4 linked regions of the Alligator mississippiensis genome follow. Each later gene encodes a partner of the first gene's protein in a complex. Links are inferred from orthologs where the notes say so. Each region holds a gene or a part of one and is shown on either strand. Other genes may lie near its edges. The genes, in order: PRIM2, PRIM1, POLA2 and POLA1.

Region 1 (7,614 bases):
AGGGTCCAGGGCAAAGCTAGAAAGGTGCCTGCAGCTATATACGAGGCTGCAAGCAAGACTGAACACGCCACGTTTCCAATTAAAGTGCCCTACAAACCCACCACAAATATGCTCCACATGAAGGGCCCTACTACAAGTTCAAATTAAAGCTGGGTAGAAACTAGCTACAGAGTTACACATTCTCAAGCATTAACTTTATAGTTGGTTGGCTCTTTGTGTAGCTGGATAGTCATTTTTAGCATGTTATCATTACTTTGCATGTGTAACGGGTCTAAGTGTATTGTGCAGTTAAACAGTTAAGCATGTAATATTTATAATACGTAGCCGGGTCTAAATGTCTCACATTTTTATGGTACAATAAATTTGTTGAATGTGTAGCATGTTACAATTTGGTGTGTGATAAATGTAACATCTACCAAGGGCCTAAGCAGTATCAAAGAATGCACAGAATGACAGACTTCTTTATCTCTTCTTTCATTGATTTTTAAAAGGCATTAGACAACCTGCACAGACATACATAGTTGAACATCCTTCAGTCCTGTGGAATCCTAACTGAAGTTATCAACATCATCAAGGTCTTCTGCAGGGATAAAATATTTTGTAAGGACCAATTACCAGAAACTAGAGCAGTTCAAAAAAGATGTGAAACTGAGCTATGTTTTCTCTTTGCTGCTATCAAATATTACTGTAGACTGGATAACTGTAGACTGGATAACGAAGCCAACACAAACACAGGCAGTAGTATGGGTAAGTGGTAAGTGTCTAGAACAGCAACTTAAGGCCTGGGGGTCAAATCTGGTTCACCAAGCAATTCCATTCAGCCTGCAAAGCTAGGACACTAACAGCAGTGTGGTGGTAGTAGGGAAGTGGTGGCATATGAGGCTGTAGACTGTCTGCAAGTCAGAAGCTTCAGGATATCCTTGTTTTGACTCAGTACCACTCCGGACATTTGAATGAAGCAGTAAGTTAAGCGTGTGGTAAGGTAAGACTGATATTGTAGTGGTGATGGCCCAAAAATTTTGTGAGGTCTTTTGCTTCTCACATAGAAGGTCTTGCATTCAGAAGCTTGTCTAACTTCATCTCAGCTACATAGTTGGTCCAGTAAATGATATCACCCTAACAAATCCTCGTCTCTTGCACGAAGTAAGCAAAGGTATGTGGCAAAATATATTTGGGGTGGAACTTTGCCTGAAACATCATGAGACTGTCTAGTTTGACCATTTCCCCAACCTTCACTGGCCTCCGAGAACAATGCAGAGCTAGTAACTTGTTGAGACACATCACAGGTAGTCAGCTCTTCCTGTCAACCTCAGCTGGTAGTGTTGTGCATTATGACAGTAACAGCAATGGTTAGCTGTGGGCTTGGCAACAACATATGCAACACACATTAGATTACTTGAGTAGAGGTATGTAAAATGAGCATTAACGCCTCTTTGTTTAAAAATACAATATTTAGGTAAGCTTAAGCTAATATATGTATTGCTCCCAAAGCACCAATACCTGTTAAACAACATTTCATTCTCAAAGATAAAATTCAGAAAGAGAAATTCCCTGAGCAATGGAATGCCCCCATGTTCATAGAATCATAGAAGTAGGGTCAGAAGGGACCTTGTAGATCTTCAAGTCCAACCCCTGCCTGGGCAGGAGGAAACTGGGCTCAGGTGACCCCAGCCAGGTAGGCATCGAGCCGCTTCTTAAAGACCCCCAGGGTAGGAGCCAGCACCACTTCCCTTGGAAGTTGGTTCCAGATCCTAGCCGCCCTGTGAAGTAGTTCCTACAGATGTCTAATCTAAACCTACTCTCCAACAACTTGTGGCCGTTATTCCTTGTTATCCCGGGGGGCGCTAAAGGAAACAAGGTCTCCCCCAAACCCTTCTGGTCACCCCTAGTGAGTTTATAGACAGTCACCAGGTCCCCCCTCAGCCTTCTCTTGTGAAGGCTGAACAGGTTCAGGTCCCATAGCCTCTTATTGTAGGGTCTGCCCTGCTGTCCCCAGATCATGCGGGTGGCCCTCCTCTGGACCCTCTCAATGTTGTCCACATCCCTCTTGAAGTGGGGTGCCCAGAACTGGACACAGTACTCCAGCTGTGGCCTGACCAGTGTCGCGTAGAGTGGGAGGATCACCTCCTTGGACCTACTTGAGATGCACCTGTGGATGCACGATAGGGTTCGGTTAGCCCTGCAGACCGTGACCTCGCATTGTCGGCCCATGTTCATCTTGGAGTCAATGATGACTCCAAGATCCCTTTCCGCCTCCGTGATCTCAAGAAGGGAGTTTACTATCTTATAAGTGTGTTGCCGGTTACTACTGCCCAAGTGCAGCACCCTGCACTTGTCCATATTGAAACACATCCTGTTTTTGTTAGCTCACCCTTGCAACCTATCCAGGTCTTTCTGCAGTCTTTCCCTCCCTACTAGTGTGCCCACCTCACCCCAAATTTTGGTATCATCAGCAAATTTGAACAGGTTGCTTTTCACCCCATCATCCAAATCGCTGATAAAGAAATTGAACAGTGCGGGCCCAAGGACCGAGCCCTGGGGGACTCCGCTGCCCACTTCCCCCCAGGTCAAATATGACCCGTCCACCACCACCCTCTGAGTATGACCCTTTTGCCAATTAGCAATCCATCTGACCATGTAGACCTTGATGCCACAGTCGCCTAGTTTTTTAATGAGGATGGGGTGAGAGACAGTGTCAAAGGCCTTGCTGAAGTCCAGAAAGACTACATCCACGGCGACACCTGAATCACAATGCTTTTGTGACCTGATCGTAAAAGGCAGTCAGGTTGGTCTGACATGACCTGTCCCTAATGAAACCGTGCTGGTTGCCCCTGAGTTCAATGCATGGACCTGTTAATAGGTTCTGACACTGCAACCCTTTCAAAATAAAGAGAACGTATTTAAAAAAAAAATATATATATTCTAGAACTGGTTTGTATTCTTAGATTTTATAATGAAAAATATAATTTCTGACACTGCTGGAGTGAGAAGCGAGATAAGATACTGACTTCAAAAGTTTTCCAGCCTCATTTATTTACGAATCAGAACATTAAACAAAAATCACCCTTTAGTATTTGAACGAGAGCAGTTTGTGGCTACACTGTCATGTGCACAGAACTGAGAGTTGCTTTACAGTTTATCTACTGGCCATCAGGCTCCTGGTCCTGGTTTCCAGAGCTAGCGCATTCAGATATACAAATTGTCTTTGGAGCATGCAAAGGTTGCCATGCTCTGTGAACGTGGTTCAGGCTGCAGCTCTGGCTTTCCATGCACCCCTTCCTTGATCATTTGCTGTGTTAAGGAAGCTGGTTAAAGTGAGGTGTGACAGAGAAGTGTAGAAAGCAGGTGCTGGGAAAGGAGCAGGAGAGGACCCAGCAGTTCACACGTGCAGTGCATCCAACATTTATTATTTTAGAGATTGTGGGCCATGAACGACATGTGCCCTCCCAAGGCTGGGCTGGGGGGGGGTGCACAGTGACCACCTGCAGGTGGTGGCAATGGTGGGGGCGTGGTGGTGGCGAGCAGGGAGCTCCCACAGGCAGCCACAGCAGCATCGATGGCGGGCGGGGGGGCAGCACAGTGGTCAGTGACGCTGCCGCCAGCAGCATCGGTGGCAGTGATCAGCAAGCACCCACAGATGTCGGCGGCGGTGCACCACCAATCTCAGGGGTGTACATGCACCCTCTATGCATTGCCAATGTTGTTGGCAATCCCTTGAGTGGAGGATGATCTCTATCGTGGGTCCAGTCCTTGAGCCACAGATCTGCCTGTAGAAGTTGCAGGTCTTCCTGCAGGGGAGGGCAGGCCTAGGCTAGGATCAGGGTTTGAAATATGGGGGAGGGGGATGACTGAGTCCCCCTATAAGAGATGAGACTCCCCCACCCAGCGCCTTTCGAAGCAGCTCAGGTGCCACTGCCTGCAGACCCCTCAAAGCAGGAGTGTAATTCAACCTGGCTAGGCTACGTTTCCACACGCATGTTGCCGGTTGCTGCCCCCTTTGGCTGGGGCACCCCTGTTGCACACTGCCTCTGCTTGGCCTACACGCTCGTGGGACTGCTGTCTGCATCCAGCACTTGCACCAGCTCTCTTCGCCCAGCGGTTTTCAACCTTGGCATCCCCTCGGCCCTTCATTTGCACTCATTTTCCCGCGACGGAGAAGTAGTACGGCAGCTCCTGCCGGTTCTCCGAGCCGGGGGCCGCGCAGGCGGCTTTGCCCCGGAGGGCGCGGGAGAAGGAAGCATAGTCTCCGCTAGCGCGCTAGACAAGCCGTGGGCGGACCGTGTCGCTGTGTGCGGCGGGCGCCGCCATTTTGCTTGTAGACAAAAAGGCTCGTCTCGCCCCTTGCTCCTCCCCGTCCCACCCTTCCATGGCGCGGCCCACGCGTTCCGCGCGGTCAGCCAACCCAGCGAGGCGGAGTCAAAGGAGCCCGAGGGTGGAGCTGGAGGCGGAGCAGGCGCCCCGCCGGGACAGGTTGGGGGCGGGGCTAGCAGCAGGGGCGCGGGAGGGGCGGAGCCAAGGGCGGGCTGCCCAGCCGGGGGGCGGAGTCAGGGGCGCGTGACGCGGAAGCGGGGCGGGCCTGGCGGCGCGCGCGGGAAGCCGGCGCAGTTGTTGCTGTCGGGGCGGGCGGGCATGGAGTTCTCGAGCGCGCGGGGCCGGCGGCGGGCGGCGCGGGCGGGCGGGCGCGGGCGTTACCCGCACAGCCTGCAGTTCTATCTGGCGCCGCCGGCCGAGAGCGTCTCGCTCGCCGAGTTCGAGAGCTTTGCCGTGGACCGCCTGCGCCGTGAGTGGCCCGGGGCGGCTGCGGGCCAGCAGCGCACGTCGGGGCGGGAGGGGCTCTGGTGCTTTGCCCAGCATCGGCAGGGCCTCGCTTGCCGCCTGGGGCCCCTGTCAGCCCTGGTGGTTGGGGCAGCAGGGTCCCGGCCGGGGCTGGGGCCCCGCCGGTCAGGAGTTGAGCAGCCCTGACCTAAAACTGGTACGGGGGGTGGGGTAGGTGAATGTGAAACACTTGTCTCCCTCCTTCCCTGCCTCAAATGGTTTTTAAGACCTGGGAGATAAAGCCTTAGCTGGGGTTATCTGGTTGGGGGTGGTCCTGTTTTGAGCCGGGCATTGGACTGTATCAGTGGGTCTCAACTTTTTTTGTACCAAGCCCCATTTGTAAACATGGATGGCCAGTCCCCACCCAGTGAGTAGCTGAAGTAGAAAACAGCCCCCTGGTCCTGCTGATGCACTCAGGACCCCCAAGCCCCAGCCCCCAGGTGGGGGGCCAAGCAGCCCCTTGCAAGGGAAAACTCACCATTTCTCATGTGTTTCTTGGTTGAAGGAGAATCCAGTTTTAACATTTGTTTGCAACCTTTTCATATATTCATGCTACCCATGGGTTGAGAAAAGCTGGACTAGATGATCTCCTGAGGTCCTTCCCAACCCAAATTTTCTGTGCTTCAATACTGTCACATTTCAACAAAACCAAAATTGGGTAGAATGCTGGGCTGGCCTGCCTTCCCCCCTCCCTCTTCTCTTTCTTTAAAACAATAATTAGATTTCTGTTCTATGTTATACTAGGTGCTCATACTGCTTTTTGTTTGTGGTTTTTATTTTTAAATTACTTTAGTACTCAAAGTAGTTGAGAATCTTGGTGTGAAATACCTGAAAGGTACTGATGACTATAAAAGCAAGCTGGAATATGAACTTCGAAAACTTAAATTTCCATTTAAAGTAAGTAATTGGAACAAGAACCTTTCCTACCTTTGTGTCCACATTGTATCTCCTGTGGAAAATATATATATATATAAAAAACAGCCTTAGTCTGTCTGTCTGTAACGGGTTATTTGCACTCAGATTGGTTGTCTGAAATAACCAATCAGAGTGCTCCAAGAGCATTCAGTACAGGAAGTGTCAACCAGAGTGCTGATGCCATGATGGAGGGGACAGAGAAGATGGGTGTGAGGCCAGGGTGGAGTGGGCCGGGATGAGGAGCGGGGTGGGACATGGGGCTCAGTCCCTGCCTGCCCCGGTCATTCTTGATGGGAAATTTGCTAGTTGTGAATAATAATACACTTAAAGAATTTATATGCTGCGCACTACATTTGAGAATTCAACCAATTTTATACACGCAAGTTTTCCTTTTTTTTCCTGTATAATTTAAATACAGTTTTTGTTCTTACTTAATTGGGTCAGTCTGGAATCTTTCATTTGTACTGAAGTTAGTGCAACTAGAGTCTGCAAGATAATGCTCTGCAGTCTGTAGGGCTTTGTAATATGAAGAATAAATTCTAACTTGCTGTTTTCATGTAGCAGTAGTAGCAAAAGGATAGCTACTGTAGTAATTAATACCTTGTGTTACCAGGGGTGACTGGTGCCTCCCAAGTTTGGGGAGTGGGGCACAATTTGTGAGTGGACCCAGGGGTGGGCCAAAAGCCTCATATCCACTCTTATACTGTGCTGTGGCTTAGTGCCTCCCCCCAACATGCCACCGGCCCACATGGCAAAAAAACTGCCCTGTCCTGCATGGTGCCAAGTAGGGGGGCCAATCTCAGGGAGGGGGCATGCCTCTTGTCCTCCCCCCCCCCCAGTCACCTGTGTTACAGTTTACGAAGTATTTAAGGATAAATATCTTTGAGTTATGTGATGTGAAAGTTGAGGTTTAGCATTTAATTAACTTTTTTAAAGTTTAATTTTCTGCTTTAAGCTGATGCATGTCCTCTTTTATGAAAATTACAGGCTTTGGCTGAAGATGATTACGATGCAAGGAGGAAAGACCATATCTCTCATTTCATACTGCGTCTTGCTTATTGTCAATCGTAAGTGTGTTTTTGAGTTAGTATGTATTTTAATTTCTAGCATGTCGCTAAAACTAACGTGTGATGGCTGGTCATTAAGAGACTACCCGAGTCAAAGAAAAGCAAAGATGCGGTCTCAGTTTCTCAGTTTACAAACTTGGTCAAGAAAAATTTCATATTTGAAGTGTGATGTGCAGGATGAAAACTGGAGGATAATTATTTTTATACACAGGTGAAGCATAAATAGATATCACCACAATTATTATGTACCAATTCAGTGTGTTTCTTTAAAAAGCATTCAGGATTGATTAGTCTTCTTCATTGGCCTATTATGTACTCATTGATAGTCAGGGTTGAGTGCTTTTGACTATTGTTCCCAGTATTAGACAGGTCACTCTCTAAATACTGTGTGTCTTACATACCATACCCATGCACCTTATTTTTGAAAGGCAGAATGAAGAAAAAGAGGCTTTCCCTTGAAAGTGCTGTAAGTATGGTATTTTTGCAGGGAAGACACTGGCAGCTGGATTTGGGATGGAGGTGGGGGTGAGCAAAAACCTGTGGCTGCTCTGTTAACTACCTTGCTGCAGGATGTGGCAGGCACTGTTGGCTGAGCTGAACTTCCTGAGTCCTCTTTCTTCTCAAGCTGAGGCAGAGGAACAGTCAGCTGCACTGACTGAGTCAGCTGAGAGCTCACCCACTCAAGGAGTGAACAGTTTGGCTCTAATAAGATCAGGCCCTCACCTGACTGTAGGTGCTACTGACTGCCCACTCAGCTCAGCTTGAAAAGAGAAGAGGGGCTAGGCAGTTTGACTCATCCAGCAGTGCCTGCCTTGTC
Region 2 (7,353 bases), on another chromosome or scaffold:
TACAAGGTACTCCAGAGAGTAGGAGGGGACTGACCAGAAGCCCCTAAGGCCACTCTGCTGCTGGGGTGGCCCGCTCGGGGCTGGGCAGAGCAGCCTAGAGGGGCTAGTGACCCACAGCTACCTGATGGTGGGGACGGCGAAGGGGTCGAACTGGTCCAGCCGCTGAACATCGATAGGGACTGAAATGCGACCTGCCGGGGGCAAAGTCCACATCATGTCCAGGCTCACCAGGGTCCACTCCCTGCCCTGGGGGTCCCTTCCCCTGGGCTGTACCTGTCTTGGGGTGGACACTGAAGGGGCTCTTGAGCAGGTGGTTGAGGCCCTTGCTGACGTTGCCGTCCAGGCGTGGGAAACAGAACTGCAGCATGATTTCCTTCTCTGCGTAGGATGGCAGCTTCTTCGAGCTGCTTGAGGACTGCTGTGGGGGCGGGGAAACAAGGACAGTTGAATTCCCCCTGCACCCAGCAGTGGCCTGCCCCCCTCAACAGCCTCCCAGTGCCCCCTGCCCCCCAGCTTCTCACCCTGGACTTCTCGACGAGGGCTTTTAGCCGGGCCCAGCGCTGCACCGAGTCACGCTTCCGGGGAAAATCCTGCTGCAGCTGCTCGCGCAGGGGTGGGCACCAGCTAAGGACTGACAACATTGCATGGACCCCCCACCCCCTCAACCATGCGTGGAAGCACGGAGGTCTGCACCGAAGCACTAGATGGACACAGATGTAGAGCCTGTAATGCAGCATGTGTCAACACGTGAGCATGTGCACACAAGCACGGGCACAAGCTCTCCCCTGCATGCTTCTCTGGCCCTAAACATGCAAGCCCCCACCGCTGCCAGCCCCTTCCCCAGGCAAAGTGAAAGGCAGCTGGAGCTGGGCAGAAGGATATGCTCTGGGACGAGGGCCAGCACCTTGTCCCAGCTCTCACGGCTGCCCAGGATGTCCTGCCCCAGCAGTGCATACTCCTCAAAGCGCTCCTCCACCAGGCGCAGCGACTTGCTGGGGAGAAGCAGACGGGATGGTGGGGTTGGCTCCCTGGAGGCCATGCCTGCGGCCCTCCGCTCCCAGGACGCTGGGACCCTCCCCTGGCCAAGTCTGTGCCTACTTTGGGACTGCGGGGACATTTCCAGCTGTGGGGGGTACCAATAGGGGTCCCTTGGGGGCACCCCCACCCTGGTTGAGGGGAGGCCATAAGGGAGCTACTGCCCTCCAGAGAGGAACGGGTCTCTTTGGATCCCTGCTGCCTTGTTCCCAACAAGCTTGTCTACTACGCCTGGTCCCCGGGGGTGGAGCGGCACCCAGGTCAGGCAGGAGGGAGCTGCCAGCACAGGGCAGAGTGGTCCTGGCACTGGGGTGAATCAGGCCCACGACTAGGGCCTGTCAAGGGGCTTCATGGGGGGGCACTAACCTGATGAAGGGGTGCACAGGGTCAGAGAGATTCACCTTCTTGACAGTGTCAGCCCCACCCTGGGCGGGGAGCAAGAGGAGATGGTCAGGATGGAGCAAATCTGCCCCAGGCCCGGGTGCCAGGCGACAGCTCCCAGCACCTGGCCTGCCTGGAGCAGCTGCAATGGGGGACTGGGGTCAGATGCAGCCCCCAGGAGACCCCCTGCCGCACCTTGACCAGGCTGAGGTAGTCGACGATGGAGGAGCGCAGCGAGGAGGACCACTTGCGCACAGTGTCGTCGCACACCCAGCAGTGCACGCCGCGCCGGCCCGAGTACACCCAGAGGCGGTGCTGCACCCCCAGGTCCTCTGTGGGGCACAAGGTGTGGGGTCAGGCAGGGCCTGCTGGGGGGGAGGAGCACCCCCCAGTCTGACCATTGCCCCTCACTCCCGGACTCCCAACCTGCAGCCCTTGCCCCCCTCCCGGACAGCCCTTCTGGTGCCCCTAACTCCAGACCCGCAGCCCCCAGTCCTGCAGTAAGCAAGGCTGGGCCCAGGACAGCGGTGCTGAGAGCCCCAACTGGGCAACTGGGTTCCTGCAGCCGCCACAACTACCCTGATACAACCAGGAACCACGGTGCTGCACCCCCCGGACCCTGACGGATGGGTACTTGCCCACAAGTGCTCGGTCGAGGACGCGGATGGCGATGGTCATGAGGGTCCAGCACTTGGAGCAGATCTCGGCCGAGCTGCAGGGAGGGAGGCCATGGGGATGGCACTGGCTTTGGACACACCAGTGCTGACCCACCCCCACGGCCTCCAGGCCCCGGCGAGTACCTGCAGCACCCGCGGACGTCATCGTAGTCGGTCATGTCGATGTCGAACACCAGCTCCTTCTCCTGGGCCTGGAAGGCCCCCGAGCGCAGTGCGTTGTGCTGACTCGGCTGGGCCGGGAGCGACAGGTCAGCGCCGGGGGCCGCCGCTCCGCACCCCGCACGTCCCCCACGGAGCCGTCTGGCTTCTGGGGGCAGATGTAGCCCCCGCCCGGCTGCCTTGGAGCTGAACGCCTGCCCCGTGACCCCTGCTGCAACCCAGGCCTCCGACTCCGGGTTCTCCGCCGGGCGCCGACACGGGGAGAGACCGCGACGCCCGGGCTCTGCCAGCGCAGACGGGGCCAGGGCAGCGCGCCATGCCAGCTCAGGCAGCCCCGTGCCCCAACTCACCCGGTGCGAGTACACCGCCCCGATGTCCACCTTGTAGGGGCAGGTTTTCTGCAGCTCCTTCTCCAGGTCCTGCGGGTGCTCGAAGCTCTGGTACCGCACGTAGATGTCGTCGCGCAGCGTGAACGAGAACTCGCGGCGGGCGAAGTAGTTCTTCTCCACTGCGGGGGGAGCCGCCGGCTCGGTGCCCGGGTCCCCGGCCCCGCTCTCCCGCCCCGGCCCGGCCCGCAGCCCCGCACTCACCGCCTCCGTAGCCGAGCCAGCGGCCGTAGGGCCCGTGCGGGAAGAGGCGGCGATAGTAGAGCGGCAGCAGCTCGGGCAGGGCGCTCGGCTCGAACCCCGCCATGGCCCCGGCGGCGGCGCGCGCGAAACCGGCCCCGGCCCGGGCGGCTGGGAGCTGTAGTCCGGGCCCGGCCCCACGTGCAGCGCCGAGCCCCGCCCCGCCCCGCCCCGCCCCCGCGCAGCGCCGGGCACCGCCCTGATCCCGGCCCCACGTGCAGCGCCGAGCACCGCTCCGCCCCCGCGCAGCGCCGGGCACCGCCCTGATCCCGGCCCCACGTGCAGCGTGGGGCAGGGCCGCGGGACCGACCCCAGGAGCTGCTGCCCTCCAGCCCCCATGAATCCCTGGCCCCGAGGCCGCGGGTAGAGCCGGCCCTAGGCAGGACCTGCTGACCTCCAGGGCGATTAATGATCACCCAGGGCAGTGCCGTGACCCCGCCACCAGCCAAGCAGCCCTCAGGACAGTGTCCCCGCCACCAGATGAGTGGCTTTGTGGAAAAGCGTTGGAGCCGGAGCCAAGTGGCACAGGGGGCAGGTGGGGGAGCATGGGGGGTTTGCATCCAGGCCGTACCTGGGGTGGTCTCGCACAGGCATCAACCACCCCTGCCCTGGGCAGCTCCAGGCTGGAGGCAGCTAGGGCAGGTAAGTGGGGGGGGGGTGGGGAGGCCCCAGTTCTGTCTGGTTTCCCCCAGACATCCCAGCGTCAGGGGTGACCCCAAAGGGAAAAGCAGGAGTGATCTTGAGCCCAAAGCTGGCGTGACCAGAACTAGGATCATCCAGGGGATGGGCACGGGAAGGGGCAGGGATCCCCGGGGCAAGCCGAGATACAGATTACCAGCGGTGAGCTGCCCTGTGTTACTGCCAAGGGGCACACTTGTACCCTGGGGTAAAGGTGGGTGCCAGGTCCCCATGCCCCATGCCTGCTCCAGAGCTTGCAGCTGGTCTCTTGGCCATGAGCGAGGCTGGGGAAGGAAGGGAATAACAATATTTTCCTCCATAGTGGGTAAAAGTCCAGTGCTGAATTGCAACTGCCTGACTGGGCCAGCTCCTCCCAGGCTGACAGGCACCCAGCTATTGATGACTTGCGAGGAGCTGCTGGAAACCTCCCCAGAGGTGGTCGCATTTGGACACAGCTCTGACCTCAGGTGGCTGTTCCCCCACGCCTGTGAAGATGTGGCTGTACCTGGTGGCCCTGCTGGCGCTGTACCTCCTGTGCCGATGGTACCGGGAGCGGCAGACGGTCGGGAACCTCCCGGACAAACATGTCTTCATCACGGGCTGCGACTCCGGCTTCGGGCACCTGCTGGCCAAGCAGCTGGACGGGCGGGGGCTGCGGGTGCTGGCGGCGTGTCTGACGGAGCAGGGGGCCGAGCGGCTGCGGCAGGCGACGTCGGGGAGGCTGCAGACGGTGATCCTGGATGTCACTCGCTCCGACAGCATTGCCGCGGCCACTGCCTGGGTGAAGGGGCAGGTGGGGGACCGAGGTGAGGCTGCTGTATCCCTGGCACGATGCATCCCGAGTCCGGGGTGGGTGACACTGGGGTGCAGGGAGAAAATCCTCTGTGTTTCCTCCTGCCTTTTCCGGGGCAGCTCTGAGCTCCAACAGGAGGGGCTCTGTGGGGGCAACGGGGAAAGGAGCTGCCGGCAGAAGGGAGCGAGGACTCCTGGGTGCTGTGTCCCACTTTGGAGGGGAGCGATGGGGGGTCTGGACTCTGGCGTGGAGCCACATCATAGGGCGAAAGCGCTACATTGAGGGCAGAGGAGGGTCTCAGAGGGTCTGTTCAGCAGTAAGCCCAGGGCCAGGATGTTGGCGGCACTGGGATTCGTGCCCGAGTGGGGGAGTCTCCCGTCCCATCTCTGCCCAGGCTCACTCCCTGCCCTCACCCCGCAGGGCTCTGGGGCCTGGTGAACAATGCCGGGGTGGTGCTGCCAGTGGCCCCCAACGAGTGGCTGAGCAAGGCTGACTTCGTCAGGGTGCTGGACGTGAACCTGGTGGGGCTGATCGAGGTGACGCTGAGCCTGCTGCCCCTGGTGCGCAGAGCCCGGGGCCGCGTTGTCAACGTGGCCAGCATCCTGGGCAGACTGGCCTTCTGTGGTGGTGGCTACTGCCCTTCCAAGTACGGTGTGGAGGCCTTCTCCGACTCACTCAGGTAATGCGGGGCCACGGGCTGCCCCTCGGGCCACGGCGTGGGACGGGAGGCATTTGTGGGGCTGTGGCGAGGCGTGACGGCTGCCTCTGTCCCAGGCACGAGCTCTGGTCCTTCGGGGTGAAGGTGGCAATGGTGGAGCCGGGCTACTTCCACACGCCCATGACACACATTGAGAACAACCTGGGCTGCCTGAAGCAGGCATGGCAGTGTGCCTCGCCGGAGGTCCGGGAGAGCTACGGGCAGCAGTACTTCGAGACCCGTGAGCACTGTTCTGTCCTCTTCGGGGCGAGGGGAGTCAGCGGGGAGGGGGTGCTTCCAGAGGCAATAGAGGGGCCAGCACATTGTCTGTGGTCTGCTCCCTGCTGTCTCCACCGCCCTGCAGCCAGGGCCTCTTCTCCTGAAGCAGCGAGCACCCCTTAAAGGAACCATGTGTGCATGGCAGGATCCAAACAGCCCCCTTTGCCGGCTACATACAACACGCCAGATCATGCTACGTCATGCCTCCCCGAGGCTGCATGGGCCGGTTCGCAGTGAGCACTGCTGGAGGGCTCACCCTCATTTAGCAGGATGCAGCTCTTCCCAGGAGCCCTGCGGCAGTGACCTGGGGGAAGCCATAGCAGAACACGGCTGGGTGTGAGTGTTGCGTGCTGAGTGCCCCTGCAGCGTGTCTGTGTACATGTGGGTGGGAGAGAAGTGACTGCATGTTGCCAGCCTGCTCAGACCCTGGCCACAGGCTGTCTGCAGACTCGGGCACGTGCCTGCCCATGCCCAAGGCTCTGCCCCGGGCTGACCCCCCACCCTGGCTCTGCTCAGTCTACAGGCTGTCCCAGGAGAAGCTGCAGAAGGGGTGCAGCTCCAACCTACCCCTGGTCACCGACTGCGTGGAGCACGCGCTGACCGCCCAGCACCCCCGCACCCGCTACTCCGGCGGCTGGGACGCCCAGTTCTTCTTCATCCCCCTCTCCTACATGCCCACGGCTGTGGCCGACCTGGTGCTGACCTGGTCTTGCCCAAACCAGCCCAGGCTGCATAATAGGAGGTAGGGGGAGTCTGAGAGGTGGGTGGCATCGGAGCTGTGTCCCCCACTTAGCAGAGCTAAGCCCCTCACTCCCTACAGCCAGGGACCGGGTTCCTCGGCTTAATGCTTCTGACCAAACCCTGCAGACACTTGTGGGGAGGGGGTAACAAGTGATTAACAAGCAGTTAGTGTGCAAAGAAAACCCGGAGGAGTTCCCAGGGGCACTGCAGGACGCTTGCTAGCCATGCTGAGACAGGCAGAGCAGCTGAGTATGGGGGACTTACTGCACTGGGGTAGGTGGGACTCTGTCGCTCCGGGGCTGGGCAGGGCCCTGGTGCTCGGGCTCAGGTAGCAGCTCTGGTTCCCCTGGGCTTGTTCTGCAACAGGGAGAAAGGGAGAGCTCAGGGCAGCTCCTGAAACGGGGACCCGCACGGTGGCTTCTAGGAGCTGCCTGGGGAATAAACACAGCCAAGCAGTGGGGAGCTTGTGCAATGCTGGGGACCCCAGTGATGTCCAAGGTCATGCAGAACCAGCCCAGCCCGTTCGTGGCCCAAAAGGCCCCAGCTCCAGGGGACCGATTCTCCCCGCAGCCTCTGCAACAAAGCTGCAGCAGTGGTGTGAGTGGGCACGTTGGACAGGGGCTGTGTCTTCCCCCGAGGGGCTGCGGCATGGGACGTATGAGCTCTGCGCCAGGCTGCAGCCTGGTCTGCCCCCCGCTGCCCTGCATCTGTACCAAGCTACGCTGTGTTTCCTGGGGCTCCCTCTGCCACCTGCCTGCTGGCGCCCACCTGCTCTCGCTCCTAGACTGTAAGCTCAGTGGGGCAGGGCATATCTCCCGGTCCCGTTTGCCTGGCGCCACAGCATCCCGCTCACAGCAGCGCCCACAATAAAGGAACTGCCCCACTGAATCCAGTCTGCCTGCCAGGCCAAGAGGGCAAGGACTCCTTCCCCCGAGGAAGCCTGATTTTCCGTGTTCCCTGAAGAGCAGCAAACGCCAGGGTCACATCTCACGGTCTGGTAATACAGAGGCTAACGCAGGTCATGCGTGAGCTCCTAACTGATGTGTGTGGGGAATGGTAGGGATACGGGGTTGTTACTGTCTGCAGCACAAGCCCCACTTGGATCTCTCCTTGATACCAGGCTAGGCCGTATTGCCCTTGCTGGCTGGGACACTGTTCTCCCTCCCATAGAAAGCCCCATGCACAAGGCTGCAACCTCATTAATAAGTGGCCACTGGAGCTGGGAGTGATGAAGGAGTCCGGGGCAGTTAATTATTGCCCTGTTGTTAGGGAGGGTGCCCCGACCCC
Region 3 (7,653 bases), on another chromosome or scaffold:
GGTATGAATGGTGCTAGCTTCCCTGAGATCATGAGACGCTGAGACAGTTACAGCTGAGCTGTGACAGCGGGTACCAGATGAAGTTCCTCCCCCACAGTGAATAACTTGGGAGACAGAAAATGGGCTAATTTGGAACAAGCCGTTTTTGTGACAGAACGAACATTTTGTGCACGTTTTATTTTATTGAAGCTTCAGAAAGAGATTAATCATAAACAAATCTGAGTTTCAGAGGCTGGGGATTTGGGATATTGTTGCCAAGTAAGAATGTTAAATAAGTTTCAACAGCTGAACATTTTGTAGATGCCAGTGCCAAGGTGACAGACTGATCGAACAGTCATGCAACCCAACTGGCTCTTTGACAAGAACAGCGATTCTCAACCTGGGTGACATGGCACCCTGGGGGCCCTGAACATTCATTTCAAGGGTGCTGTGGGATGCTATGCAATGTTAACGCTAAGTGTGCAGGCATAATTCAACAGATAAACCCAGAGAGCATGTCCATATATGCAGGTACGTGCAGCTGCAGCAGCTCAAATAGCAACGGGGCAAATTTGTGCCAGAGATTTTTGTGCCTCAGCACACGTGCCTGAACATGCACTTTGGTGTGGGGCAAATTATGCCACTTAGGACAAACTGCCCAGCTCCTCCTGGATCTTCATCTAGAGGGGAACTAGAGGCTCACCCATGCTGGCCCCAGCAGTATAAAAAGCTGCCCTAGCGACTCAGGGCTACTTGTCCTCAGGAGTTTCTGAGGCCTGGCCAGTTGGTATCTGGGGACACTAGTCCCTTGTGCCAGCTGGGCTGGTGAAGCAGCCCTAACCTAGATGGGCCCCTGACCCCTCTACCTACTGCAGCAGTCTGGCAGTGGGGGCTGCTGCCCAGCTGTGACCTGCTGCCTCCTATGATAGCATCCGCCCCCTTGGACCTGCGGCTCCATGGCTGCATGCCTGCCAGACCCAGACAGGGACCGTGCGGCTGCCTGGGCTGTGCTATGGGCACTGTAGAAGAGCCACCTGCACCTCTGGGCCAGATGCCAGCGGGCTGTGGCTACACAGCTGCCCTTCAGGTGGCACTACTGTCATGTCTTGTGGTATCCCCACTCTACCATCTAGGCAACTGTTGCCCAGAAGATGTGCTCCTTGCGGTGGCCCACTTTGAACTATCAACACGTGTTCTTCCGGCCCCAATTGGCCAAGAGGACAGCCACCTTGTCTGGCCTCCAGTTGGGTCCCTGTGCTGGCCCTGGGCAGGCTCCTCTGCCCAGGTCCCGCCACTTGCCTCACCAGCAGAAATCCTGGGTTTCCCTGTTTAAAAATCGCAAATTCTCTGATAAAAACACCCAAATTCTCTCATTAAAGTACTCAAAATCTGTGTTCTTTCACAATTAAAATAAAACGCCACTATATCTAGAGAGATCACTTAGGCAATGTTTTACTGATATATTCACAGTTTTAAGGCAATTTGGAAGCCTACCAGTGCCTTTATCATCATAATAAAACAAATTCTAAAGATCTAAACAGTTTGGCATTTGCTCCTGGTTTTTTATCATAGAAAAATCAGAGCTGCCTCCGCCCCCTTGCTCAGGGACTGGGTTAGGCAAGCCCCTGCTGTTGGCGAGTACCAAAATTGTCCTGTAAAAGTGGTAGGAGTGGGCCTAGGGGTCAGTACAGTCAAGGTCTTGGAACATATCACTATTTGTTACATTGTAAAGTGGGTTCCCTTCATGCGAATTCGAGTTATGCACCATTTTCCAGGAACACAAAACAAGGGAAACCTGTACCATTTAATAATACAGCTTTGTGCAATATTTTTTTAATCTTGTATTACCTTGTGCTCTCTGCTACCCTTCATTTCAGGATCACCGCGGCCTTTTATAAACAGCATTTAATCTTTATGTGAGTTGTATTTCCTCTGTGTTTCCAGGGAGTGTAATGTAAGTGAGGTCACCCATACTTTGCATTCAGCAGTAGACAAGAGTCAACTCCAGAAACCCCAGCTCCCTGCCCTGCGTTGCACTTCCTTCAAATTCTTGGTATCAGCTGAAACACAAAGCTGCTCCTTTGTACTTTTAATCTCCATGCAGAATTTCTACTTTACAAAACTTTTTAACAGGTAGGTAAGATATGGATTCCCAGCACATGCCAGTTGTATAACCAGCATTTTTCTGCTGAAAGTACCTCCTGCTTGCTCTAACGAGGACTTTTCAGTCCTAACAAGTGGATGATACCAGGATAGGGAGGCACCTGGTAAAGTAACTAAATTAAGAGAGATGTAAGCTTTTGTGAGCCTGACCTTAATTGCCAAATAATTAGCCAGTATGGTTAAGTGAAACTTTAGTTTTCAGGTCATTAATTGTCCCAGAGATGACAAGGCTTGGAAGCAGGGGTTCAGAATGAAAATGGAGAGCATAGTAGACCTAAAACCAGCCTTTCATTTAGTCTAGAGCACTCATGGTCTTTCCCCATAGCCCATTCCAAAAACAGAGAGCATCCACAAAACACCAACAGGAAATGTTTACAGCGGTGCAACAGTGACAAAAAACTGGGTCTTACCTTTCCTTCTGAAGACAGCAAGGCTTGACATCATTCTTTTATTTCTTCTGGATGAATTTTTGGAACTCCAGAAGCTGCTGTCCCGTGCTCTTATAAGCATAGTAATCTCAGTGACCAATCACCTTGGTTGGATGAGTGATATTTCCAGACCCTGCACTAAAAAAGCAACCCCACAACCTTTGAAATAAATGCTGATTCAGCAGGAAGGCACTGATATTTGTCTGCTGCTGATGTTATGTCTTGTCTTGACAGGATTGCCTTTGTAAGGCACCAGGATGTTGCATACCACCCTGTTCTCCTGGGCAAAGGGGGCCTTGCCAGCTCCTTTAGTGGTGTTTTCTGAGAAATTATCATACCCAGATCAGGTAAGCAGCATTGCCAGTCTTTGAAAGGCCTTTATTTAATACTGAGGTTGTGACCCAGTCTTGGCCTGGGATAAGAAACAGCCTAAAAGAGACTGTATGTCAGGAAAGTAATTTCATATTGCCACCAGACAGCACGTCCTCCTTTTTTGGCAGATAGACAGGTTTATTACTGAAACGCCCCTGTCGCCTTGCCTTGCTGACAATCGGCCACCTGAGAAATTTCAATCTGGTTTTCGTTTCAGGTCATAGCTCTGAGGTAGGTCTCGGGAGAGTCTCCTGCTTAATTTATGCCCCCTGACTCTTGTGCTTATTAGGCTGTTGTCATCCTGTTTGATCCACCAGGATCTGTTCCACCATCCACCGTGACTGAATTCTGCTTGTTCATGGTGGTTCCACGTCTGTTGCTGTCCTTCTGCTCCTGTCACATCTCATTACATTGCACCAGAGGGCTCCCTTGGACAGCACTTCCTTCTCAGAACAGACATCCAGTATTTTGCAGTCTGTGCTGTCAGCGTTAAGCAGGTGCACGGCTTCATTAGTCTCTCCTGATGCACTTGCTGTCCCCCTTTCCCAGCTGTCCTCTTCTGAACTCCAGCTCAGTATTTAAGAGGAGAATCTGAATTTTATTGGAGCCTGACCAGATCAAACATTGCTCCTTATATGTAAACAGCACCGTACCTGGGGTCCTGGTGGCCCTGGGCGAGCTTTTAGTGTCAGGGCCCCCTTTGCCAGAGATAATGATAACAATAATTTTTAAAAGATCATTTTCTGTCCAGGATCTGGGCAGCCGCTCAGTTCACCTATGCCTGCGTCCAGCCCTGTATGCGAATACTTTCTAGACACCCTACATACACACGCGTCTGTTCCTCAGAAGTGGGATTTTGAGACACAAACACGCGCTTGAAACTATACAGATTTCTTCATGCTCAAGCAGCAAAAAGCTGTTTTTAAGTGGGTTTAATCCTCGCCTCCTCGAGCACCTGGATTAAGACATGTCCGCAGATGGAATACAGGCCGCGGACGGTGTTCGCCTCCAAAACAGATCTTTATAGTAGAAAGACATGGATGTTTAAACCAGTGGCTCGTCAATGGATTCATCAAGTAATCTTCCTGGTAGGGGAGCAGCCTGCTGGGGGAGGAGAGAGCCACTGCAGAAAATCCACCCCTCTCTTCAAGCTGCCCTCTGGTCCCGGTACCGGGTGGCGGCAGACAAGAACCTGCCCCGACAGGCGAGTTAACAGTTGTAACTGCCCCCCACCAAGGGGCTGGACCCCGACTGCCCCACTGCAATGCCACCTCCCAGCAGGTGCCATCACTACACCTGCCCCTACCCCGCAGCTTCCCTCCAGCTCCGCCAGGGGCTCGTCCCCCTAACTGCCCCACCCCCCTCACAACTGCCCCCAGCCCGCGCTTTTCCTCACGTTTCCCTTCATACAACTGTCCCCTCCCCCGGACACACCCTCGCCCAACTGCCCCCTCAGGGGGTCCCTCACAACTGCCCCTCCCCTACGCCTTCCCGCCTTTTCGCAACGCCCCGCCCCTCCGAGCGCCCGCAGCCGTTGGCGCCGCGCGACCCCGCCCACCGCGCGCTAGCCACGCCCCCTCCGAATACCCCGACACCCCCTACATTGGCTCCCCGGAGGAAGCCGCGCCCCGCGCCCTCTTTTCCCCGATTGGCTCCGCAAAACAGCCCCGTCGGCGGTCCCGGGGGAGAAGCCCCGCCCCCCGGCGCGGAAGTGACGTGCTGTGGCGGGTGTTTCGCCCGCGGACGGGCCGGCGCGGCGCGGCGCGGCGCCGCCATGGGGCCGGTGTCGGCCGAGGAGGTGCTGGACGAGCTGAGTGTCTTCGAGCTGCGCTGCGAGGGGGACGAGGTGCCTGGGAAGCGTGAGTGCGGGGGGCCGGACCCCGGAGGGTTGGGGTACCGGAAGTGGGCTGGGGGGCTCAGGGTGGGGCGTGGGGGGCAGAGGTGCCTGGAAGTGCCAGGCGTTGGAGAGCGTGGGGGCCAGAGCGGGCCGGGATCTGCAACGAAGGGCATGGAAGAGTCACTGGATCTTCTTCGTCTCTGTCCCAACCCCCTTGGCCGCGGTGTGGCGTCTGCCCGCTAGTCCTGTGCGAGCTCCTCCGTGCCCAGGGCCTTTAACACCTCTCTCCTTGCAGTGGTGGAGCTGTGCGCCACGCACAGGCTGACCGCGGGGGACTTGGCTAACGAGCTAATCGCCTTCTCTACAAGCAAAGAGCACCGCGCACTTCTCACTTTGGATTTCCTGACCATCTTTGAACACGAGGTGAGGGTGAGGGCGAGGGGAGGCTGGCTCGCAGGCTTCTCATCCCTGAAGGCTGATTCTTCTACTCTGTTCAGCAACGGGGAAGGCTCTCCTGGAGTCCCGCGTCCAGTTCGGGGTCCTGCCCTTTAAAACGGAGGGGAGGGGGCAGAATGGAAAGAGTCCAGACCCGGGTGACCGAAATGATGAGAGGCCGGGAGACAGGACTGGTGAGGACGGGCAGGGTCTAATCGCAGTCTGTCAGAACCTGGAGGGCCATGACGGAGAAGATGGAGACGGGCTTTTCTCCGTGGCCACAGGGGACAGGACTAGGAGTAATGGCCTCAAGCTGCAGCAGGAGACATTGAGGCTGGAGATTAGGAGGGGCTTCCTGAACAGGTTAGGGACTATTTAGAAAATCTGGATGTATGCAAGTCCAGGGGCCAGATGGGATGCACCCGAGGGTGCTGAGGGAGTTGGCTGATGTGACTGCAGAGCCAGTGGCTGTCATTCAAAACTCGCGGCTCAGGAGAGGTCCCGGGTGATTGGAAAAGGGCAAACATAGTGCCCATATTTAAGAAAGGGAAAAAGGAGGATCCAGGGAACTACAGACCTGTGAGCCTCACCTCAGTCCCTGGAAAAATCATGGAGCAGATCCTCAAGGAATCCATTCCTAAGCACTTGGAGGAGAAGAAGGTGTTTAGGAGCAGTCAGCATGGATTCACCAGGGGGAAGTCCTGCCTGACCAACCTGATTGCCTTCTCTGACGAGGTGACTGCTCTGTGGATGTGCGGAGACCAGTGGATGTGGTGTACCCTGATTTTAGTAAGGCTCTTAATCTGGTCTCCCACAACATACGCACAGGCAAGCTAAGGAAGTGTGGGCTGGATGAATGGACTGTAAGGTGGTTAGAAAACTGGCAGGACCATTGATCTCGGAGAGTAGTAATCAATGGCTCGATGTCTAGTTGGCAGCCAGTATCGAGTGCCCCAGGGGTTGGTCCTGGGGCTGGTTTTGTTGAGTGTCTTCTTCAACAACCTGGAAGATGGGATGCAGTGCTTCCTCAGCAGGTTTGCAGATGAAACCAAGCGGTGGGGGAGGGGAAAGTAGATGCACTTGCAGGGTAGAGCTAGGATTCAGTGACCTTGACAAATTGGAGGATTGGACCAAAAGGAATCTCCAGAGGTTCAACAAGAACAAGTGCAAAGTCCTGCACTTCTGTTAGAGCAATCCCATGCACCAAGACAGGCTGGGGGTGACTGACTAGGCAGCAGCTCTGCAGAAAAGGACCTGGGGGTGACAGGGGACAAGAAGCTGAACAGGAGCCAGCAGTGTGCCCTTGTTGCCATGAAGGCTAACGGCATCCTGGGCTGCATTGGTAGGAGCGTTGCCAGCATGGCAAGGGCAGTGATTCTTCCCCTCTGTTCAGCACTGGGGAGGCCACATCTGGAGTCCTGTGTCCAGCTGTGGGCCCCCACCACAGCAAGGATGTGGACAAATTGGAGAGAGTCCAGTGGAGGACAGTGAAATGGTTTAGGGACTGGGGGACATGACTGGTGAGGAGAGGCTGAGGGAACTGGGCTTATTTAGTCTGGAGAAGAGAAGACTGAGGGGGATTTAATAGAAGCCTTCAGCTCCCTTCAGGGGTGTCCAAAGAGGCTGGAGCTGGACTGTTCTCAGCAGTGGCAGATGACAGAACAAGGAGCAATGGGCTCAAGCTGCAGGAAGGGAAGTTTAGGTTAGATATTAGGAAGAACTTACTCACTAAGAGGGTAGCAAAACACTGAAACAGGCTCCCCAGAGTGGTTGTGGGATGTTTGGAGGTTTTTATGACTCGGGTAGACAGTCTTGTCTGGGATGCTCTAGTTGGGGCTGGTCCTGCTTGGAGCAGGGGGTTGAACTAGATGTGACCTGAGGTCCCTTCCCACCCTCACTTTCTGTGATTCTATGACTGAGGGTGGTGAAACATTGGTACAGGCACCTAAAGTGGTGGAGGCTCCATCCTTGGAGATCTCCAGGAGCAGGCTGGATGAACACTTGTCCGGGATGGTGTAATTGGGGATGATCCTTCCTCGGGCAGGGGACTGGACTAGAGGCTGGGTGAGGTCTCATTCAGCCTGACTTTCCTATGATCCTAAGCTAAGCACCTAATGGAAGGTGCCTTTTGGGTTGTGTTGGCAAGGACTGTGTCTTTCCCAAACTGTGGTCCAAGAGACTGATGCACAGCTTACACAGCATGCTCTCCCCACAGCTCTTTGACAAGGCTGATGGGAAGGGTGCGTGGTGCCCACTGGAGAATTTTGAGGCCCAGAAAGTTTGAAAGCTTTTAGCCAAGGCTCAAAAAGGCTGGGCTTGTGAGGAGAAAAAGTGAATGCAGCAGGGTGCCTTGAGAGCCTTTCAAGGGTGCTGCGGGGTGCTGTGCAACGTTAGCTTCATTAGGTGTGCAAACATGATTTGCAGGATGAACCCAGAGAC
Region 4 (7,572 bases), about 260 Mb from region 1:
AGACCCAATTCTTCCCTCTCCTCTGAAGTTGAGCCAAGGGTTTGTGGAAGCTTCAAGCTAACACAAGACACTAAGGGTTTTAGAGCTCCTCACTTCCTACTGGAAGATTAATGCCTGTCTCCTGCTCCAACAGACTGAAATCCAAGGGAGATCCAAGGGAACTGTGGAATGGCTGTAACCTGGGTCACCTAGCCATTATGCTCCTTCCCTGTGTGAGGTAAGCCTGCCACCATGATGGAGCAGATGACCCCACATAGTACCCTTAAAAGCCAGCCTCTGGGACCTTTAAGGGTGGCTTGATGGGTTATTAGGTCCCTCACAGTGGCAACAGAGAGGATAAGCCTGTACAGCAAGCACCCTTAGGGGTCACTGTCATCTGCTCTGTACAACAGAATCACACTGTTGAGATTATCCAGTTTAAATTTTATGATTCTTTTTCAGAGACAAAAGGCTGACAAACAGAACAATAGGGTAGACAGACCAGAAATTCATGCCGGTAAAGCAATATGTAGTAAAAGGCAAAAGACTTATAAATGTTCTATCACAAAAGGTCCAGATTCAGTAAACAGATCCCATTAGTAGAGACTCGTTCATGTTAGACGAGCTCCAACGAGATGAAGTTTTCTGCAGGCAAGCTAGCACGAGACTTGCCCTAATCCACGTTATAGGTCCAACACCCTAGCTAAAAGTTAAATGTGACTTGTCCCCCACTACCTGAAAAGTCCATCCAAGGGCAAGGAGAGAAAACTGTAAAAACATTCATATTGAAACAATTATTCCCACCAGAACTTGGGTACACAAGTATGCATGCACAGTATGAAATGTTTTCTGACAATCCAGTATGTAGTCAAATAAGATACAAGACTACACTGGTCTCCGAACTAGAATGCAAATTTTTTGACGAAGGATGAGACTGGCAACTTGTATGAACTACATCAGGGTACCTTCTAAGTGGTCAGGAACTGCACCAGTGGGGACCACATGCTGTGGGAGCCACGGGCCCTATGCTGTACATGCATGGGTGCTCCCCCATGCACACAACACCTGTACAGGTGTCCTCCAGCCCCACTCCCCTGCTCCCTACTGCACTGCACACGGTACCCTGCTTCACCTGCAGCTACACAACCAAAGGACTGCCCCACTGCACCATGCCCCCCGGGGAACTCTGGGTCTTCAACTCCCCCAGCACTATGGACTGCCCCTCTGGGGCTGGGCCAAGCAGCAGAAATCAGAGGAGGGAGCAGGAGCACTGCAGCTAGAAAAATAAAGGAAGCAGTGGCCAGGTGAATCACAGGTTAACCAATCACAGGCCACATGCAGCCCACAGGCTGCCAGTTGGCCAGTCCTGAATTAACATCAAGACCATCAGCTCTGTCATTTCTCACTTACAAACCTTGACCACCTGCTTAATTTTCAACAGGACTGATTTTGATTTGTGTTGCCCAAAACACTGGCCCTGCTTGTAGTATGTGCACTAAGATGAGACTGCTGGAACTGGGTGGGAGACACCATTAACTTAGCAAGCTGCTGCAATTATGAAGCTACAGAAAGTGTCAGAAAAATCGTGTGATGTAGCATGCATGTGCTTCAGCACCAGTTACTTTGCAGCAGCTTGGAGGAAAGCATGGAATGAAACCACCATTCGGAATAAACACCTAATTTCCAACCCAACAACAAAGCCTCCTGGTTTTGACCTTCTGTGGAAAATATGGAAGGCTGTAAATCGGATCTGAGCTGGAAATGGCCACTGCAGTCACCTGATGCACAAACGGGATATTAGGAGTTTTGCAAAATATGATTGTGGCAATCCTGATCAAACTATGGACCACATAACACTGCCCTCTATACAAATTTGACAGCAGCATTGTAGATGCATTCCCTTTCCTCAAGTGCATTAGATTGTTTAACTAACCTTAAACTGGTCTTATAATTGTTGCTCCAAGTCAGCCATGTGAAAGAAAAAAGCAGACTTTGCATATGCAGAGCTTTTTTTTTTCCCCTCCAAGCAAACCCACAGGAGATTCCCAACCCCTGGGCTGCTCTGATTCTACAGGAGGAAGAGGAAGAAATCCAGGGCTAAGGGAAGTGATGCTGCCAAGGCAGCCAGGAGCCTCAGCCCCACTGCACCAGCACCCACATGGGACACTCACGCAAGCTGCTATTCTGTTACCTGTGCCCACACAAATGAGGGGACAGGAGGGAGGTGTGTGCATGTGTGTCTGTGCGCACGCATGCATCTGTCTGTACGTGCCTGCGCATGCATGCCTGCATCTGAGTGCACATGTGCCTCTGTGTCCATTTGTGCATACCTACATGTGAATGGGTGCCTGCAGGTGCACACGCCAGTCTCATTGCACATGCACCTCTGTGTCTGTGTATGTGCGCACATGCCTACATACACATGCACACCTGCCCAGGTGTGTGCCCACCTCCATGCCTGTCTCACGTGTGCCCCCACATGTGTGCACATGCGGGAATATATGCATGAGCACACGTCTGGACGCATGTCTATGCATGTGCACACGTCTGCCTGAGGTATGTGTCCATGCGGTGCGCGCCTGTCTGGGGGAGTGTATCTGTGCCTGCGGTCACCTGCATCTATGCGAGCCCCTGCCTACCCCCACAAGTGACGCGTTGTGCAACCCCTCCCAACCGGCTCGGGGGCAAGGGAGAGCATGCAAGGAGGAAGAAGCACCAGGTTTCAAGGCCATGGAAGGGCTCCCACCCAGAAACGTGCAGGCGCCGCTGCAGCCCGTCCCACCCGCCCGCGCGCGCGGTGCAAGGCGATTGGGAGAGGGAGAGGGGGAAGCCGTGCGCGAGCTCCCGCCAAGGGTTCGCCGCTCTCACCCGCGCGGCCGACCCCGCTCTCGGCCATGACGTCGCCCGGCGTCCCGCGCGGCAAAGCGCCTGAAAGTGGCGCGAGAGGCCTCCCCAGCGCCCCGGCCGGCCCGCCAGCCAATCACGAGCCGCGGAGACTCAGTCAGGCCGCAGCCGCCGCCGCCGCCGCCGGCCCGCCCCGAGGTCGAGGGGGAGGAGCTGGAGGGGCGCGCGGGCGCGTTCGGAGCTGCGGGGAAATGCTGTGTTTCGCGGCTCCGCCGGGCGGGTACGGAGCGGCGCGCGCGGGCGGGCGGGCGGGGAATGGGAGGAGGAAAGTGGCTGCCACCGCCCGGGGGTGCCCGGGAGGGGAGGATCGTGCATTTACACGTATGTATACATGCATGTACACACACGTACTCCCACACGCATAGATATCACACGCACATGTAGGGGTGTGTGTGTATATATAATACACACATATACATATATATGTGTGTGTGTACATACATATATATACATATATTTGTGTGTGTGTGTGTATATATGTATGTATGTATATATACACATATCTATCTGCATGAGTGTACATGTGTGTAGCTGTACATGTAGGGGGTGTGGGTGTACATGTAGGGGATGTACACACACACACACCCTACATGTACAGCTACACACATGTACACCCACACACACACAGGTGTGTGTGTATTATATATACATACAAAAAACTAGAACTCTTGGTTCCAAAACGATACCTTTTTGTTAGACCAACTGGAAAATGGCAAAAAAATTGTCCTTTTCTGCAAGCTTTCGGGATCAAAGTCCCTTCATCAGGCTCTGGGAAAAGCGTAGATGGTACAAGATGGTAAAAAGTCCCCATAGGTAGGAAATAAATTTCATTTTTGCACAGAGGGAGCTGAAGATGGAAAGCTGTCCCTCTGGGTCCATGAGAGTGTCTTTGTGAGCTGTGCTGAGTAGCTCTTTGATGTGTTGATCAGGTAGAATTCCTTCCCTGGAGGTGTCAGATGGTAGGGAGGGAGGTAAAAAAAACCCGTTCTTGTTGTTCTGCAATGAAGTTTAAAATCCAAAATCAGCTAAAATTCAGCATCTTCTATGTTTCAGGGGTGTACTTGGTGTACACACACCTACATGTTCATGTGTGTATATATGTGTGTGCACATGAGTGTATGCGTGTGTGCACGCATGCGTGGAGGTGTAAGTGGCTGTCTGTGCACATGCATACACTCAGATGCATGCACACATATATACATGCGTGCACACATCTATATGTACAGCCACATACACCCTTCCATCCCCGACACAGATGGGCTGGAGTGGCACAGGTGCTAAAGCACGGGGTTAATAGCCCAGAGTTTGGAAGTTTGAGGCCATAGCAGAAGTGCACTTAGCGCAGCCCTGTGAGGTACCAACGAATCTGCAACTTCCACCAAATATCTTGTCACACAAGAACCCGAAAAAAGGAAAGGACACACACACACCACATACACCCCCACACATACATGTGTATAACAAAACATACACATCCCCCCACAGACACATACAGATATGTACATATACATATACATCCAAATATCCATACCCCACATACACACACATTTTTATATATGTATATACACAGACACACATGTATACACACACGTGTGTATGTGGGGTATTTATGTGCGCACACACATATATACACATATACAGTGCTTGGAATAGCAGAGACTTGGTGGGAGCTCGCATGACTGGAGCACTGTCATGGATGGGCACAAACTGTTCAGGAAGGACAGGCGGGGGAGAAAAGGAGAAGTTGCACTTTATGTAAAGGACCCATATGATAGCTCAGAGTTCCTGTATGAAACTGGAAACAGGCCTGTTGAAAGTCTCTGGGTTAGGGTCAGAGGGAAGAGCAACAAAGGGGATGTTGACCACCAGACCCGGCAAAGGTTTTTAAGACCCAGGTAGACAAAGCCTTGGTTGGGTTGATCTAGTTGGGGATGGTCCTGCTTTGAGCAGAGGATTGGACTAGATGACCTCCTGAGATCCCTTCCAACCCTCAGTTTCTATGATTCATTGTATATCCACATACACATCACACAGGAATCTACACAGACATGTATACCCACATACACACACATGTACACCCACACAACTGACCAGACATCACATGTTAGCTTCTGGCAGGCAAAGAGCCCAAATGGGAGGACAATTTTTTTTGGTAGCAGTAGAATAAGGTGAACTCTAGAGAGTAGAATAAGGGGAACTCTGTTTGGGAGACCTTTCTGAAAGAGGCCCAAACTCTGCTAGCAACACCCAGTTTTGCATTCCAGGATCTCACATCCCAAGCAGTGAAATACACTGACATTTCCTGGAGAAGCCTCCCCAGATAGAGGTGCCCCCCAAACACAGGGACACCCAGAATCACAATGGCATTCTGTTTTTCTAGCAGTTGCTGTACTATGCTTCTCAGATATAAGATTTAAAAAGGAAACCTGAAGACTACAAGTGAGAGAGGAACAGTAGAAAAAAAACCCTGATCTTCCCCAGTTCACTCTCTCTTTTGGCATCCATTCTCTGCCACTGTGTGACAGGCCTATTTGATGTTCATTGGGAGCACAGGGCCAGTGCCCATCAAGTAAAGCTAAAAGCCCCCCTTAATCTAGGGTTCCGCTAAGGCTAGAGACAGGTATTCAAAAAGCCTGAGCCTGAATTGATTCAATCAATTAGCCTTTTACGACCAGGTAACACACTGCCTTGACAGTGGAGCTGAGGCAGATGTCATCTACCTGGACTTTAAGAAGGCCTTCGATAGTTTTGCATCCTATTCTCATAAGGAAGCTAGCAAGCTGTGGAGTAGATGCTTACACAGTCAGGTGGGTGGCAAACTGGCTTAGGGACCGCACCCAGAGAGTGGTGGTAGATGAGTTATTTTTGGCCTGGAAGGAGGTGGGCAGTGGTATCCCGCAGGGTTCAATCCTTGGACTGGTGTTATTTAATATCTTTATCAGCAATTTGGACAAGGGTGTGGAGAGCACTCTGTCTAAGTTCACAGATGACACCAAGTTATGGAGCAAAGTTAACACACCAGAGGGCAGGGAGCGGATACAGGCCGATCTGGACAGGTTGGATCAATGGGCAAAACGAAACAGGATGCAATTCAACAAAGACAAATGCAAGGTGCTCCACCTAGGGAGGAGGAATCCCCAGCACACGTATAGGTTGAGGGATGACCTCCTCAGCAGCTCAGCGGCTGAAAGGGATCTTGGACTCATAGTTGACTCCAAGATGAACATGAGCCGGCAGTGTAATGAAGTCATCAACAAAGCCAATCGGACCTTATTGTGCATTAGCAGATGCATAACTAACAGACCAAGGGAGGTGATGCTCCCACTCTATGTGGCATTGGTCAGGCCACAGTTGGAATACTGTGTCCAGTTTTGGGCGCCGCACTTCAAGAGAGATGCAGAGAATCTGGAGAGGGTCCAGAGGAGGGCCACTCACATGATTAGTGACCTCCGTACAACACCCTACAAAGGGAGGTTGAGGGATCTGGATCTCTTCAGCCTTCACAAGAGACATCTGAGGGGAGACGTTGTAACAGCCTATAAGTTTATCAAGGGAGGACAACAGAGAATTGGTGATGCGCTATTTACCAGCGCACCCCTAGGAATAACTAGGAATAATGGATACACACTAGTGGAAAGTAAATTCAAGTTAGACATTAGGAAGAAATTTTTCACAGTAAGGGTGGCCAGAATTTGGAACAGGCTGCCAAGAGAGGTGGTACTGTCACCTAACTTGGAGGTCTTCAAGAGGAGGCTAGACAGGCACCTGGCTAGGGGCATCTGACCTCGGTCCTCTTTCCCGCCAGGGGCAGGGGCTCGGACACAATGATCCTTCGGGGTCCCTTCTGACTCTACAATCTATGAATCTATGAATCTTTGCAGGTTAATCTAACATGGCTAGGCCGAACTGGTTTGAAACTGGACAGACATGCTCTCTGGACTGAGGAAATTCAGGCACATGCCTTCAGTGGCTCAAGCTAGAAGCTGGGGGGGAGCTAGAGCAGCACTCCCTTCCCTTCTGCAGGGAGCTGAGCTGAGAGGTTGTGGCCAGGCCCCAGCAGGATGCTCTCATTAGGGACGTCTTTCTGCATAGTCCCAGGCTTTTCCCCATTGACTCCTCAAGAGGCGGGAGTATTACCAACCCCCAGCCCGGGCTAGCACTCTGAGGCAAGGGGGAGTGTGCAGTGCATGCATCTGTTGATCCGTTTTCAATCTCTCTCCCTGCTTCATCATACTGTCTGCAGCAAACTGACAGGAGAGCAAGCGGGGTGGTGGCAGGGACAGGGGCTAATAACAGTCTTTACCACCCAATTAGCAAAACAATAGCCTCTCTCCACATTACTTCAAACTTCTTAAACAGCTTACTGGCTGACCTGTTGATTAGCTCCAAAAGCCCATATTCTGTCTGCCTATCCCAGTGAAATTGGAGAGAGACACACATACAAACACCTCTCAGCACTAGCTAGCATACCACATGCTGGCTACAGTCCCTGCTGTGGCAAAGAGGAGGAAGGGATCTCTGCTTAGGCAGTGAGTGGTGAGGGGGGGTGGAGCGGGGCATGGGGAAGTCAGCAGACCCTGCTGTGCCTGCAAGGTTGTGCTGAGCTCCAGCCAGGGAGCAAAGGGGAGGGGCCAGCCCTGCTGTGGAGCAGAGAGCCCTGCCCAGCCCAGAGAGCATGTCGGGATGCTG

Evidence for each region.
Region 2: the proteins of PRIM2 (region 1) and PRIM1 are in contact, whole or in part, in a crystal structure (PDB 5EXR), measured with the Homo sapiens proteins. The link is inferred for Alligator mississippiensis from reciprocal best matches to the Homo sapiens genes PRIM2 and PRIM1. Residues at the interface, in NP_000938.2 of Homo sapiens: Glu165, Ala168, Ser169, Pro171, Ser172, Phe188, Ala189, Leu192, Phe195, Arg196, Gly197, Arg198, Val200, Tyr201, Leu202, Glu203, Asp204, Gly205, Phe206; in NP_000937.1 of Homo sapiens: Lys147, Glu148, Asp149, Phe150, Gly151, Phe152, Ala180, Val181, Gly184, Ile185, Glu187, Tyr188, Ser190, Leu191, Lys193, Lys207, Ile208, His209, Pro210, Ile212, Arg213.
Region 3: PRIM2 (region 1) and POLA2 share a complex: the UniProt entries of both Homo sapiens proteins name them as parts of the alpha DNA polymerase complex. The link is inferred for Alligator mississippiensis from reciprocal best matches to the Homo sapiens genes PRIM2 and POLA2.
Region 4: the proteins of PRIM2 (region 1) and POLA1 are in contact, whole or in part, in a cryo-EM structure (PDB 8G9F), measured with the Xenopus laevis proteins. The link is inferred for Alligator mississippiensis from reciprocal best matches to the Homo sapiens genes PRIM2 and POLA1. Residues at the interface, in XP_018121015.1 of Xenopus laevis: Pro34, Pro35, Thr36, Glu37, Asn38, Ile39, Ser40, Leu41, Ile42, Phe44, Glu45, Ile49, Ile107, Phe110, Ile111, Leu114, Cys117, Gln118, Ser119, Glu120, Asp121, Arg123, Ala240, Arg241, Leu243, Val245, Val246, Gln247, Arg251, Leu252; in NP_001082055.1 of Xenopus laevis: Leu842, Lys853, Ile894, Pro895, Glu896, Leu971, His974, Arg977, Glu978, Leu981, His982, Glu985, Gln988, Lys989, Asn991, Glu993, Asn1007, Asn1009, Arg1101, Asp1102, Glu1106, Gln1109, Glu1221, Asp1224, Gly1225, Asp1227, Ala1229, Leu1230, Met1233, Trp1234.

What each region holds. Positions count from the first base shown.
Region 1 is NC_081824.1:51,528,130-51,535,743, forward strand, and holds the start of PRIM2 (DNA primase large subunit), read left to right. Parts: upstream 1-4,614; 5' UTR 4,615-4,629; coding exon 4,630-4,780; intron 4,781-5,608; coding exon 5,609-5,712; intron 5,713-6,717; coding exon 6,718-6,797; intron 6,798-7,614. UniProt on the Homo sapiens protein: Regulatory subunit of the DNA primase complex and component of the DNA polymerase alpha complex (also known as the alpha DNA polymerase-primase complex) which play an essential role in the initiation of DNA synthesis.
Region 2 is NC_081838.1:6,989,138-6,996,490, forward strand, and holds the start of PRIM1 (DNA primase small subunit), read right to left. Parts: upstream 3,005-7,353; 5' UTR 2,946-3,004; coding exon 2,843-2,945; intron 2,761-2,842; coding exon 2,603-2,760; intron 2,324-2,602; coding exon 2,217-2,323; intron 2,129-2,216; coding exon 2,055-2,128; intron 1,749-2,054; coding exon 1,612-1,748; intron 1,461-1,611; coding exon 1,402-1,460; intron 993-1,401; coding exon 883-992; intron 614-882; coding exon 522-613; intron 419-521; coding exon 274-418; intron 192-273; coding exon 122-191; intron 1-121. UniProt on the Homo sapiens protein: Catalytic subunit of the DNA primase complex and component of the DNA polymerase alpha complex (also known as the alpha DNA polymerase-primase complex - primosome/replisome) which play an essential role in the initiation of DNA synthesis.
Region 3 is NC_081838.1:4,021,850-4,029,502, forward strand, and holds the start of POLA2 (DNA polymerase alpha subunit B), read left to right. Parts: upstream 1-4,645; 5' UTR 4,646-4,716; coding exon 4,717-4,801; intron 4,802-5,074; coding exon 5,075-5,202; intron 5,203-7,653. UniProt on the Homo sapiens protein: Accessory subunit of the DNA polymerase alpha complex (also known as the alpha DNA polymerase-primase complex) which plays an essential role in the initiation of DNA synthesis.
Region 4 is NC_081824.1:315,569,789-315,577,360, forward strand, and holds the start of POLA1 (DNA polymerase alpha catalytic subunit), read right to left. Parts: upstream 3,011-7,572; 5' UTR 2,876-3,010; coding exon 2,848-2,875; intron 1-2,847. UniProt on the Homo sapiens protein: Catalytic subunit of the DNA polymerase alpha complex (also known as the alpha DNA polymerase-primase complex) which plays an essential role in the initiation of DNA synthesis.